Linked DNA regions of Mus musculus. The protein of the gene in region 2 purifies or fractionates together with the protein of the main gene of each other region. This does not show direct contact. Links are inferred from orthologs where the notes say so. Each region holds a gene or a part of one and is shown on either strand. Other genes may lie near its edges.

What was found.
Region 1: the proteins of Nup62 (region 2) and Nup98 purify together in Homo sapiens (affinity purification with western blotting; 3 studies listed by BioGRID and IntAct, with this or other methods). This does not show direct contact. The link is inferred for Mus musculus from reciprocal best matches to the Homo sapiens genes NUP62 and NUP98.
Region 3: the proteins of Nup62 (region 2) and Nup88 purify together in Homo sapiens (co-immunoprecipitation; 4 studies listed by BioGRID and IntAct, counting the BioPlex papers as one, with this or other methods). This does not show direct contact. The link is inferred for Mus musculus from reciprocal best matches to the Homo sapiens genes NUP62 and NUP88.

Annotation. Positions count from the first base shown.
Region 1 is NC_000073.6:102,207,227-102,211,364, forward strand, and holds the start of Nup98 (nuclear pore complex protein Nup98-Nup96 isoform 1 precursor), read right to left. Parts: upstream 2,941-4,138; 5' UTR 2,792-2,940; exon of another isoform or gene 2,707-2,791; intron 2,685-2,706; exon of another isoform or gene 2,513-2,684; intron 1-2,512. Other genes in the region: Pgap2 (post-GPI attachment to proteins factor 2), read left to right, coding at 3,358-3,365. UniProt on the Homo sapiens protein: Plays a role in the nuclear pore complex (NPC) assembly and/or maintenance. NUP98 and NUP96 are involved in the bidirectional transport across the NPC. May anchor NUP153 and TPR to the NPC.
Region 2 is NC_000073.6:44,829,117-44,832,388, reverse strand, and holds the end of Nup62 (nuclear pore glycoprotein p62), read right to left. Parts: coding exon 2,246-3,272; 3' UTR 553-2,245; downstream 1-552. UniProt on the Homo sapiens protein: Essential component of the nuclear pore complex. The N-terminal is probably involved in nucleocytoplasmic transport.
Region 3 is NC_000077.6:70,967,089-70,971,327, reverse strand, and holds the start of Nup88 (nuclear pore complex protein Nup88), read left to right. Parts: upstream 1-1,354; 5' UTR 1,355-1,376; coding exon 1,377-1,679; exon of another isoform or gene 1,680-2,241; intron 2,242-3,310; coding exon 3,311-3,480; intron 3,481-4,239. Other genes in the region: Rpain (RPA-interacting protein), read right to left, coding at 741-821. UniProt on the Homo sapiens protein: Component of nuclear pore complex.

The DNA.
Region 1 (4,138 bases), about 57 Mb from region 2:
AATCTACCACAGAAACGAGAAGAGAATCTTAGAGGAAAGTGGCTCTAGGACTTAGTTTTAGAATTTCCCAAGAACAGTACTTGACAAGTTTTTCATGGAAAGTAGGGCATGGTGACATATACCACTCTGTACATGAAAGGGAAAGGCAGAAAAATTAGGAGTTTAAAGTCAGCCTTAGGCTACACACCATGAATATTGTCTCAAATAAAAAAAAAGTCTTAGACAATTTATGAACTGACTTTACAAGCAAAGTAAGAATAGTTTTATTAAAATGTAAGCAGTCATCTCATTCAGGTATAATTTTAATAATTTCTTAACCTTGGTAGTTACAACTTGGGGAAGAATGGTTAATTGGTACTGAACTATCTTGCTGTGAGCATGTACTGAATTTCCAGCACAGCACACTAAATCCTCATAAAATGCTTAACATCTGGCATCTACTAAGATTTATATAATATATATACACATAATTACATATGTATACATATATATGTATATGGGGGAGGGATGGGGTTTCCATGAGTAACAGCCCTGGCTCTCCTGATGATGGATTTGTAGACAAGGATGGCCTCAAATTCATAGAGATTGCCCTGTCTCTACCTCCTGAGTGCTGGGATTAAAGGCATAGAATTTCAGAATTTTACAAAGCCTCTTACTAGAAATTAATCAGTATTACAATATTGATGTCCTAGACTATCACCACACAAATAATACTGTTTTCCCAAATGTGAATTTGGTGCCCTGCCAGTGTAATTAGATACCTAGGAGCTAATGGCTACCAACAAAAGCACAGAGTATTTCATAAGTACACAAACATCTAGTCTCTTTTCCAGAGTATTTCTCAGTTTAACTTTTCTGTATTTGCTCATTCACAAATACAACTAAGGAACATCTATGAGCCACATTACCTAAATATTAAGAAATATATGTATCTATGTTTTGGTGTGTGTGTGTTTTGAGAAAGGGTCTCATTATGCAGTTCTGACTGGCCTGAAACTTGCTATACGGACCAAGCTGACCTCAAACTCCCAGAGATCCATCTGCCTGTATTTCTGGAGTACTGGGATTAAAGGCATTCCCATCACAGCCAGCAAGATTAAAAACAAAACAAAACAAGACAAAACAAAACATAATCTAGTAAAATGTCAAATAGCTAAAATGTAAAATGTCTGCTACAAGCAGAAGATCAGGTTAAGTGCTATGGAAACTTACAAGGAAGAGTGAGTCAGGTGGTGATGCTCAAACTGAGAAAATGATACAGAAAACACCAAGTTACAACTTTTAAGACTTCAGTTCTCTTCTGTGCTTTTGCATTATTTGTTTTTAGGTCTTATGGTTTATATAAACATCAAAACTACAAGCTGATTGATATATTCAGATCAAAATGACAATTCCATCAAATCTTAAGTAGCAGATTTAATTTTATCAATGTATTTCCCAGTACCTCTAACACGTTAAGCCTCATTTTTTTCATTTTACTGAAATGAATTCAATTATTTCTTTTATCACGTGCATAAGTGTTTTGCCTGTGTATGCTCTAGTTCTCTGGCCTCAATTTCCATAACTGGTGACATTACAGGCCTGCACCACATCTATCTTGGTTTTATTCCCCACCCCACTTGGCTTTTTGAGTCAGGGTCTCTGCAGCCCTAGATGTCCTGAAACTCAGTATGAAGAGTAGGCTAGCTTTGTAGTCACAGAGTGCCTCCTGCCTTTGCCTCTCAAGTGCTGGGATAAAAGGTGTGCACTGCCAAGGTTAAAGCCAATTTCATCATTTTTAAAGTTTTGTTCTCAAAAGTCTATGTTAAGTCTGGATGTGATGGCAAACACCTTTAATCTCATTACCTCAGCGTTAGAGGCAGGTGGTCTCTTTGAGTCTGTGGCAAGCCTGGTCTACATAGCGAATTCCAGGCCAACCAAGGGTTGTCTCCGAAGTTAAAAAAAAAAAAAAAAAAAAAAAAAAGCAAAAAAAGTCCCCATCAGGGTACTACTAATCAAGTTATCTTACTATATATAAACGAACATGAAAACAGCTAAACTAGAAGTGTTTTTGAAAATTATGTCAAATGCTGGGTCCTTACCCCTACCAAATAGAGAATTGCCAATATTGGGAGACTGGAACATAGAGGAAGGGTGGAAGAGTATACAAATTCTACTAGACTTGAATCAAGACACCTGGATTCTCTTCCTCTACCTACCTCCCACTAATAAAGCCTCTGTACTTGAGGCAGAGTGGGGGCGATTGACAATTTAAACGCTTATGGCTCCAGTTACTCAGAAATTCAATCTTTCTCACCTAGGTTTACACGGAACAGAAAGAACCCTTCATTTTATTTATCAGACAATTGTCAGTGTCTTAAAAAGCTAAACACAGTTCTGACTCACTCAACCCTCTGGTTGAACCCTAGACAAAACGTGTCCTGTAGAGTGGTCAAGGAAGTGACGGGGAGACCTCACTGAAGTCCCCCCAAGGCACCACCCTGCAAGGGTCTGCCTACCGCGGGCTGCTCACCTCCACCCAGCGAATGAATGAGTAGCACCGGAGAAAGCGAGGTTCACTCAATGTGGGCTGCGACCCGAGACCCCTCCGGCCTACGCCCCACACAGTTGGATCCCCTCCCAGGGCCTCCCGAGCCAGGCCGCAGGCCCCGGGCCCCGCCCCCTCACGCAGGCCCGAAGGAGCGCGCCCGGCACGAGACTCGGCGGCGGAGAGGGCCCCGGGCGTCCAGCGCAGATGCCGGTACAGAGAGGAAGATCTACCCGCCCAGCCCCGGCAGCGCTCCCGACTTACAGCGGTGCGTCTGGAGTGAGAGCCCAGGTCCGCCCGTCACCCGCCGCTCACCGCGCGGCCTCCAGAAAAACCGTCGTCGCCGCCGCCGCTGCCACCGACCGCCGCTTCGGGCGCAGCGCGCAGAGGCCTGACTGCGTCACACGCCGTCCACCGTCAGAGATCGGCTCCGGCCGCTCCGCCCTTGGCGGCCGGGCATTGGCGGGCCGGTCCGCCACTCGAGGCCCACACCGTTATTCATTGGGTGACGATCCTTTTGAAACCGAACGTGGAGGCGGTCTCTGATTAGGAACGGAGGGGAAGAGGAGGAGCGTAAGGAATTGCCGGGAAAGGGGGGGGGGGGGGGGAAAGGAGGGACGATGGGGAGGGATGTAGAGTCCCACTCCCTCTGCCGCAACGGTTGGCTGAGAGAGGCTCATGACGTCACACAGGCCCCTCGAAGAGGGCTGGTGCGTGGCTAGAGGAGTGAGCACCAAACCGCAGTGACGCTGTGTCCAGGCCCCGCCCCCTTCCTTGGAGCGCGGAGACTCGCTACGGAAGCTCCGGCCAATCAGAAGGAAGTCCCAAGGATGACCTGGTAATTGTTCTATCCTTCTCTAGCTCCTGTCTGCGGGCAATGATGGGAAGGCTCCTTGGCCACCTAGCTTGCACTTGGAGAGCCGGAGGACCCTTCCTGGAAACCCATCAATCCACAGATTGTCTGCAGACACTCCACTCCCCACTGTTCTTTCCAGCGCAAGCCAGCCCTCGCCGTACACTTTCCCCCTCTGAATCTCTAGAATAGACCTGAGCAATGGATTTGCCTTAACAGAGCTTGAGCCCAATGAGGAGATTCTTGGCCCTTCAGCCTCAGCTGCACTTTCAGAATCTATACTTGTTCTGGGTTTCTTGCGGCCTTCTCCAGGACACATTTGGTAACCTTTACAAGTCCCGGTGAAGTTCAGGCAGTCTGCTTGTAAAGACCTTGTTACTTTGTATCTTATTTATTTTCCGTTCTATGCCTCCTCCCTCCCCTGATCTGGGCCAAAGCTTCATTTTCATCCTTTTGGTGTCTTTTCTCCTAGGATCTAGCAGAGAGCAGAAGAGTGGGCATGTTCTAGAAACCAGACCTCTCTAAATTATTGAGGTCTCACAGATAACAGGAGCTGTGTTAAAAAAAAAAAAAAAAAAAAAAAAAAGAGGTACATACTACCTCTCCACCACGTCCTGGGAAATCAATATAGAACTGAAACGAGATTTGCTAAGAATTTTAAATGATTCCCTCAAACAAAAACATCTTAAAGGAGCTGGAGAGATAGATGGGCTCAGCGATTAAGAGCACTGGCTGCTCTTCCAGAGGTCCTGAATTCA
Region 2 (3,272 bases):
CAGGGGACAGAGGAGTGGAGTTTCAACTCCAGCTCCCTCTTGGCCTTAGCGTGACATGGACACAACTTCCTCTTATTTGACATTTTACACTTTTTCCCCCTTTCTTGAGTTTCACACTAGGCCAGGCTAGTTCCCCCATGTTGGGTCAGACTGGCCCTTGGCTATCCAGGGAGAGGTGTGGAATAGGCTCCCCATGCAATCAGTCACCTTTGCTGTCTTCATGGTGATTTAATGAGACCGGTCAGCAAGGCAGGGCATCTGCCTGTGTTCTTCCTAGAGAAGGAAACTGCAATTGTAAGTGTAACCTGGGCATGCCCAGCAGGTTGCCAATAGCATTGCCATCCTGGGCACCCCTCCCCAATTCCCCCAGCACAGAGATCTAGTCTCTTTTCTTCAAAGTAGGGCAGATGTCAGGGCATAATTTCAATGTTTCTAAACTACAAGGTCACTAGGATGTAGTAGCAGGGACAGAGTGTGCACTTAGCATACATGCAGGCCCTATCTTCAAAATAGAATTCATCTTTAGGTCCAATATACAATCCTGAACAAGGACACACATTAAAATGCATTTTTATTAAAACGCACACCCTTATTGTTTGAGCCCACCAATGACAATCATGTATATAAGACACATCTTTAGAGGAACTGAGACCTAAGCATCATAATCAATTGGGAGTCAAGTCATGGAGTGCAGGGCTGGGCTGTAGTGTCTTGCCCATAGTCTTAGAGCTTAGGTGGCTAAGGCAGGAAGTTCACAACAATTCAAGAACTTGGGCTAGAGTGGGGGGATCCTGTCTTAGACCAATGAAATGTCACACATCACAGGAAGGCCACTGGGGTCGTCAGGACTTGCGTCCTCCCAGTTCACTGGCCCTGCCTCTACGTGGTTATGTAGCAATGTAGTTCAAGATGATCTGGAATTCCAGAGTACTGGGGTGACAGGCGTTCACAATGCCAGTTCTTTACGCTTTGAGATTTTATGACTCTGCCTACATGTGTATCTCTGCACTATGTGCAGACGGTACCCAAGCTGCCCAGAAGAGGTCAGATAACCTGGGACTGAATTACAGGGTGGTTGTAAGCTACCACGTGGGTGCATTGAATCAAAATAGGGTCCTGTCCTTGGAAGAGCAGCCAACCTGTGTTCTTAGCCACTGAGCGACTACCTCTCTATCTAGCCGCTCATCCCACCCCCAGCTTTCTCCTGTGCCAACATGACCCAACATGACCCAAGTGGCCCCACTGCTGGTTCAAGGTCCCCCAGTCCTATAGCCAAGTGCCGGGCCTAAGTGAGACCAGCATCTGGAAATCACCCCTCAGTGTTCATTTCCCACTGCTGATGACATCACAATGACACCTGCACGTATTAGGGTAATGGATGACTTACCACTTAGGCACAATGGTAGACAGGACTCTTCTCACACCTGCAGCCTGCCCACCCCATGAAGGTAGAGACTGGGCCCTATGGCTCAGCCAGCGCTTCCAACCCGGGCGGCATAGGAGTACCACCACCACACCAGCTGTGTCCTGCCCTATCCTGCCAAAGCTTGGACCCACTACCCATACTCACAGCAAGTCTGGTTTCACAAATCTTCCTTTATTTAGAAAAGCAACAAACATTTTGATCAGGGACCACAAAGGCTACAATAGAGTGCAGAGAAATAAAATAGACATGACTGCCAGCTTCACCACTGTGGATCTAAGATAGGTTTGACACTGGGATATTCAGAAGCAAATCTGCATCCACTTTGGCCTCAAAGACGTATCAGCAGTCAGTCCCTGCCACAGAAGCGCACAAGATAGGAGTGAGAGGTAGCCAGTGCAAAAGTGGTGCTTTGGTGACTCCACTCTATGTGCCAGAGCCTCTGGAGGACACGGGCTTGACAGGAATTAGAGACGCACAGAAGCCTGTCTCCACCCCAGGTGAGTCTCTCGTCTGGAGCACCTATCCACCCTCACAGTAGTACTGGAGTGGCTGAAGGATGAGTTCTGCCACAAGGAGAGCTGAAGCTTGCAAGGGAGCGCTGGATTCACCACTTGCCCTTGTTCTTTAAATGCTGGCCGAGAGTTCAGTGACCTTCACATTGGTCTCCAGAGCACACAGGTTATATCCATGAACATCATGCCTTTGCAAAACACTTCTGATAACAGGGAATCAAAACAAAGAGCATTTTTCTCAACAACCAACCACGGGAAAGGCAGCAGCCCTGCAACCCAAGGAGCCCCTCCCCCCACTCACGCGTGGCTAGTCAAAGGCAATGCGCAGACTGCGCTCCTGTTCCTTGCGCCGGCCCTCACATACACGGCTAGCCTCCTCCACCCTCCTCTGCAGCAGGGCAGAGCTCTGGTCCACCCACTGAAGAGAGTCCATGTGTGCATTGAGGATCTTGCAGATCTGTTGCAATGGGTCACTGGTGTCTGCAGGGCCACCAGCCATGTTCAGGTGCTCGATGATATCCTTGAGGTCCTGTGCCATGCGCTTGAGCTGAGCATCAATGTTCTCAGCCAGCTTGTAGGTCTTCTCACGCTCCTCATCAGCGTGCTGAAGGTATATGGTGCCACTTTGCTCCTTCACTGACTCCTCCAATGGGCTCAGGAGGTCTTCCAGCTCCTTCTGCTGCGACAGGATAAAGTCCAGCTCCTGGTCCAGTCGCTTCTGATCCAGCTTCACCTTTTCCACCTCTCGGTGCAGGCTGGTGATCTTCTCCCCATTCTCAATCAGTGTGCGGTCCCAGGCATTGACCTGTGTGGCCTGCTGCAGGAAGTGCCGCTCCTGATCTTCCAGCTCCAGACTCCACTTGTTGATCAAGCTTTCCAGCTGTGCATAGGTCATCGCTGGACCTGTGGCAGTCCCAGCTGCTGTGCTGGAGGCAGGCAGAGCAGTAGCTGCTACACTGCTGGGGCCAGCTGACACCAGGGGTTTCAGACTTAAGGCAAAGCCAGTGGTTGTGGTAGAGGCGGCAGCGGCAGCAGCAGTGGTAGTAGTGGTGGTAGTGGTAGTGGTGGTGCTGGTGGTGGAGGCACCAGGAGCTGCTCCAGGGGCCTTGAGGCTGAAGCCCAAAGTCCCAGCACTAGGAGTTGCTGCAGTTGTCACCGGAGCTGGGAGGGAGAGCCCTGTAGCACTGGATGAGGCAGGAGCAGCAGCTATGGAAGCAAAGAGTGTAGACCCTGCACTGGTGGTGGCAGCAGTGGGTGCAGCAGCAGCTGGCTGTGTAGCTCCTGCTGTAGTAGTCACCAGAGTGGCTGGTGTGAAGGGAGAGCCAGACAGTGCT
Region 3 (4,239 bases), on a different chromosome or scaffold from region 2:
GTTACAGCCATCGGGTCTGCTACTGAAACATAAGGACTCTTGAGCCATCTCTCCACCCCCAACTCGGGACAGTTTTTGTTCCCAAGTGGTTGTCACAGCTCTGCTTGAAGAACTGCTACTGACTGGTGCCATTTAGTAGGTGGAGAGACCAAGGCTGCTGCATCTAAGTGTTCTACATTGTACAGAACCACCTCCCATAATAGAACGTTCTCCTTCGAAACGTCAGCACTCACTGTTGAGAAACACTACTCCACACAACATGTTCAGCATGAAGATTGTTTTTCTGGGTGGTTCTTCTGGAATACACCCACCCTTTTGAGACTGCTGAACAGGGAGATAAGCTGCTTCTTAGAAGGAACTACTTGAGTTCGGAAGAAGGCGGAGCTTAAGTTCAACTCTCCTAACCGTGTCTGATGTTCTTCAGGAGAGAAATAACTTCTATCTCACGTGACGTATACATACGGAGTGCTTCCCTCTGTAACCGAACGTTAGGTGGTGGTGTTGCTACTGCTGTCATGACTCTTAAAATATGAAACAAAGTCGAATCCTAGGATAGCATAACACCTACGCCGGCCAACAGCCCGGGCGGCGGCCGGGACCCAATCCTATAGCAAGAGATCCACCTCGCTGGCCAGGCACACCGGGCACCTGCTCCACAACCAGTGCTGAAGCGAGCACACCGAGGACAGAGGTCCTTGGGAAGATTAGGGAAGTGATGACAACCCAAACTTCACACTCACCTGCCTGAAAGTTTCTTTCCAGTGGGGCGAGCCCACCTGCTTGTACAACAAGCGGTGCGGAGACCCCGAGGACTCTGCCATCTCCTCCCTTAGCGGGAAACAGCGCCCAAATCACCGCCCCTTAGCCGCGCGCAAAGGATTCTGGAAGTTGTAGTCTCGGCGCAGTCTGTCTGTACTTCAGGCCGCCGGGCTTTCTTGGAATTGTATCTAGTTTCTATCCCCTCACAGTGACAGATTTAGGGGAATCCGAGGATAGATGAAGCAGTGACAGTTGAGAAGTAAACACCACCCGGGCTGAGGGAGGTGAATCTTGAGAGAAAGTTCTGGGTTTACCCAGAGGAAGTTGTCCAGTAGACAATCAGACACACATCTCTCATCCTTAACGCTACCCCCTCACTGGCCCAGCAGCAGCCCCAAAGCGATCCTTACACTCCACTCCGCCCCGCCCCGCCCCGCCCACCTTGGCTTCAACCCGCGGCCCTGTCTATCCTCTAGCGATTCTTTCTTATTGGGCCAACTTCTCGAGATTCCTACACTTTGATAGGCTGAAGCTGTGAAGTGCTGGCCGCGGATTGGCTACGCACAGCAGCGGGCTTCGTTTCCTCCCGCCCCTCAATCCTGAGCTGTTAGTTCAAGATGGCGGCTGCCGTGGGGCCCTTGGGCGATGGGGAGCTGTGGCAGAGCTGGCTTCCTAACCACGTCGTGTTCTTGCGGCTCCGCGAGGGCGTAAGAAACCAGAGTCCAGCCGAAGCGGAGAAGCCAGCGGCTTCGACTTCACCCTCGTGCCCGTCTCTGCCGCCGCATTTGCCGACGAGAAACCTGGTCTTCGGCCTCGGAGGGGAACTGTTTCTGTGGGACGCAGAAGGCAGCGCCTTCTTGGTGGTTCGCCTTCGAGGCCCCAGCGGTGGTGGCGTGGAGCCTCCTCTCTCCCAGTATCAGGTGCGCCGGTCCATCGTGAAAGCAATCAGCCTTTTGGTTCGTTGGCGGACCTGGGCTGGCGTCTTTTGGGAACGCCCCACTTCGAGTGGAATGACCCCGCTTTGTAGCTCAATCTGGTCTGGAATCACTATGTAGCCCAGGCTAGCCAGGAACTCCTGCCCCAGTCTCTGAGTGTTGAGATTACGGGTCTAAGTCATTTATAAACACCAAAACAGAGGCTAGGCCTGTGTGTGTGTCCAGCACCTGACATAAACCTAGAGCATGCACAAGCTCCGTAATATCTGTGATTTGCTTCGGTGGGGGTGGAGGGGTTTGTTGAGACAGGGTTAACAGCCCTGGTTGTTCTGGAACGCACTCTGTAGAGCAGGCTGACCTCATTAACAGAGATCTGGAGGATCCTGATCAGAGCTAGGATTAAGCCATGTGCTGCCACTGCCCAGTTCTACAACAGGCATTTAAAGACATGGGCCTACAGATTTAAAAGCAATTAGAAATATTATTATATTCAAAAGAAATCCTTATTTAAAAGGATTTTTGGCTTAGTATAATTCTCCATACTAAGGTAAATAATATATTGATGGTCTCATCATTATTTACGAATAATAAAAAGAAATTAGAAATCTAAAATGGTCATGAGAAAAGAAATAGGAAGTACCAGGGTGAGAGTATTTTTGAGGCTATATGATGCTATGACAAATTATTGAAACTCCCTTAAACTATCACTCTTTTATATTAAGTCCACGTAGATGAAGCAGTACTGCTTGCTGCAAGGCGCTTGAAGGTAATCTAGGGCCTTACCTGTGACCTTGGGTGACCTGGAGCTCAAACAGAGCCACCTGCACCTTATCTGGTGCTGGGAATAAAGGCGTGAACCTTTACACTTGGCCTGAAGCTCTTCCTTTCTCTACAGTACAGTTATAAGATGGTAATCTGTTGATACTTCCGAGTTTATGTATTTACTGGGTATCAAGAGTCTGCTTGAGGCCAGGAACACAGAAGAAAAATCTCAAGTAGCGCCTACTGGGTTATGTCAGGGAAAGTTTAGAATGTTTAAGACCTGTGGTATTACCCAGAGCTGTGGTGTGGAACTACAGAAAACATGCCTTTGTTCCCTGGCCGCAAGATCAGGGGTAATTTCTCCCTTTTTTTTTTTTTTTTTTTAAGTTTTTGTTTTTAAATTTTCTGGGTATGTATGTTTTCCTGCAAATGAGTGCTGCATATAACATCTATGTGCCTGGTGCACACAGATGCTACAGAGCCACCGTGCGGGGGCTGGGAATTGAACCCAGGTCCTCTGGAAGAGTAGCCCTGTGGTTTTTATTTTCAGTTTGTGTGTGTGTTTGGTGAGAGAGAGAGAGAGAGAGAATATGAATATGAATGAGCCCCAAGAATATGGGTGCTGGGAACCAAACTCAGGTCTTTTGCAAGGGCAGCAAGTGCTTTTAGGTGTTGTCATCTATCAAGAACCTAGAGATTATTTCTTGGGGAATAATCAGCTAATGACACAGTTAGTACATGCTCAGAATGCTATTTATAACTTTAGAAATTTAAAACGTGATTATGGTTTCAAGCAACTCTGAAATAAATTTATATTAAAATTAACTATTTTTACTAAATGGTTTTACTTTCAGAGATTACTCTGCATTAATCCACCCTTGTTTGAAATCCATCAAGTCTTGTTGAGTCCAACCCAACATCATGTAGCACTTATCGGAAGTAAAGGACTTATGGCATTAGAATTACCTCAGAGGTGGGGGAAGGACTCTGAATTTGAAGGTGGAAAAGCAACTGTGAATTGTAGGTAAGTTGTATTTTCATTTAGTATTTATCTGTGTAAGTTGCTAAGACCCAAAATGGTTGAAATGTATTTAGGGGCCACTATTGAAACATTTGAGCATTTGTATGGTCCTGCACACTGACTTCCTGTGGTACTATTGTTGTCCGTTCTTTTTTAAACATGTATGAGTGGTTTGCCTTCATTTAGTAAGTGCAGTGCTTGTGTGCCTGGACAGCAAGAAGAGAGTGTCAAATCTCCTAAACTGGAGTTAGAGTTTAGCTGCTACGAGGTTGCTAGGAGCCAATGTTGGATCCTCTGCAAAAGCGGCAGGTGCTCTAAACTCCTGAGCCACCTTCCCAGTCCCTGCTGTTATTTTTGAAGAATACTGTGTTAATTTTTTTTTTGGATTTTAAATTTTTTTTAATTAGGTATTTTCCTCAATTACATTTCCGATGCTATCCCAAAAGTCCCCCATACCCTCCCCCCCAACTCCCCTACCCACCCATTCCCACTTTTTGGCCCTGGTGTTCCCCTGTACTGGGGCATATAAAGTTTGCATGTCCAATGGGCCTCTCTTTCCAGTGATGGCCGACTAGGCCATCTTTTGATACATATGCAGCTAGAGTCAAGAGCTCCGGGGTACTTGTTAGTTCATAATGTTGTTCCACCTATAGGGTTGCAGATCCCTTTAGCTCCTTGGGTATTTTCTCTAGCTCCTCCATTGGGGGCCCTGTGATCCATCCAATAGCTGACTGTGAGCATCCACTTCTGTGTTTGCTAGGC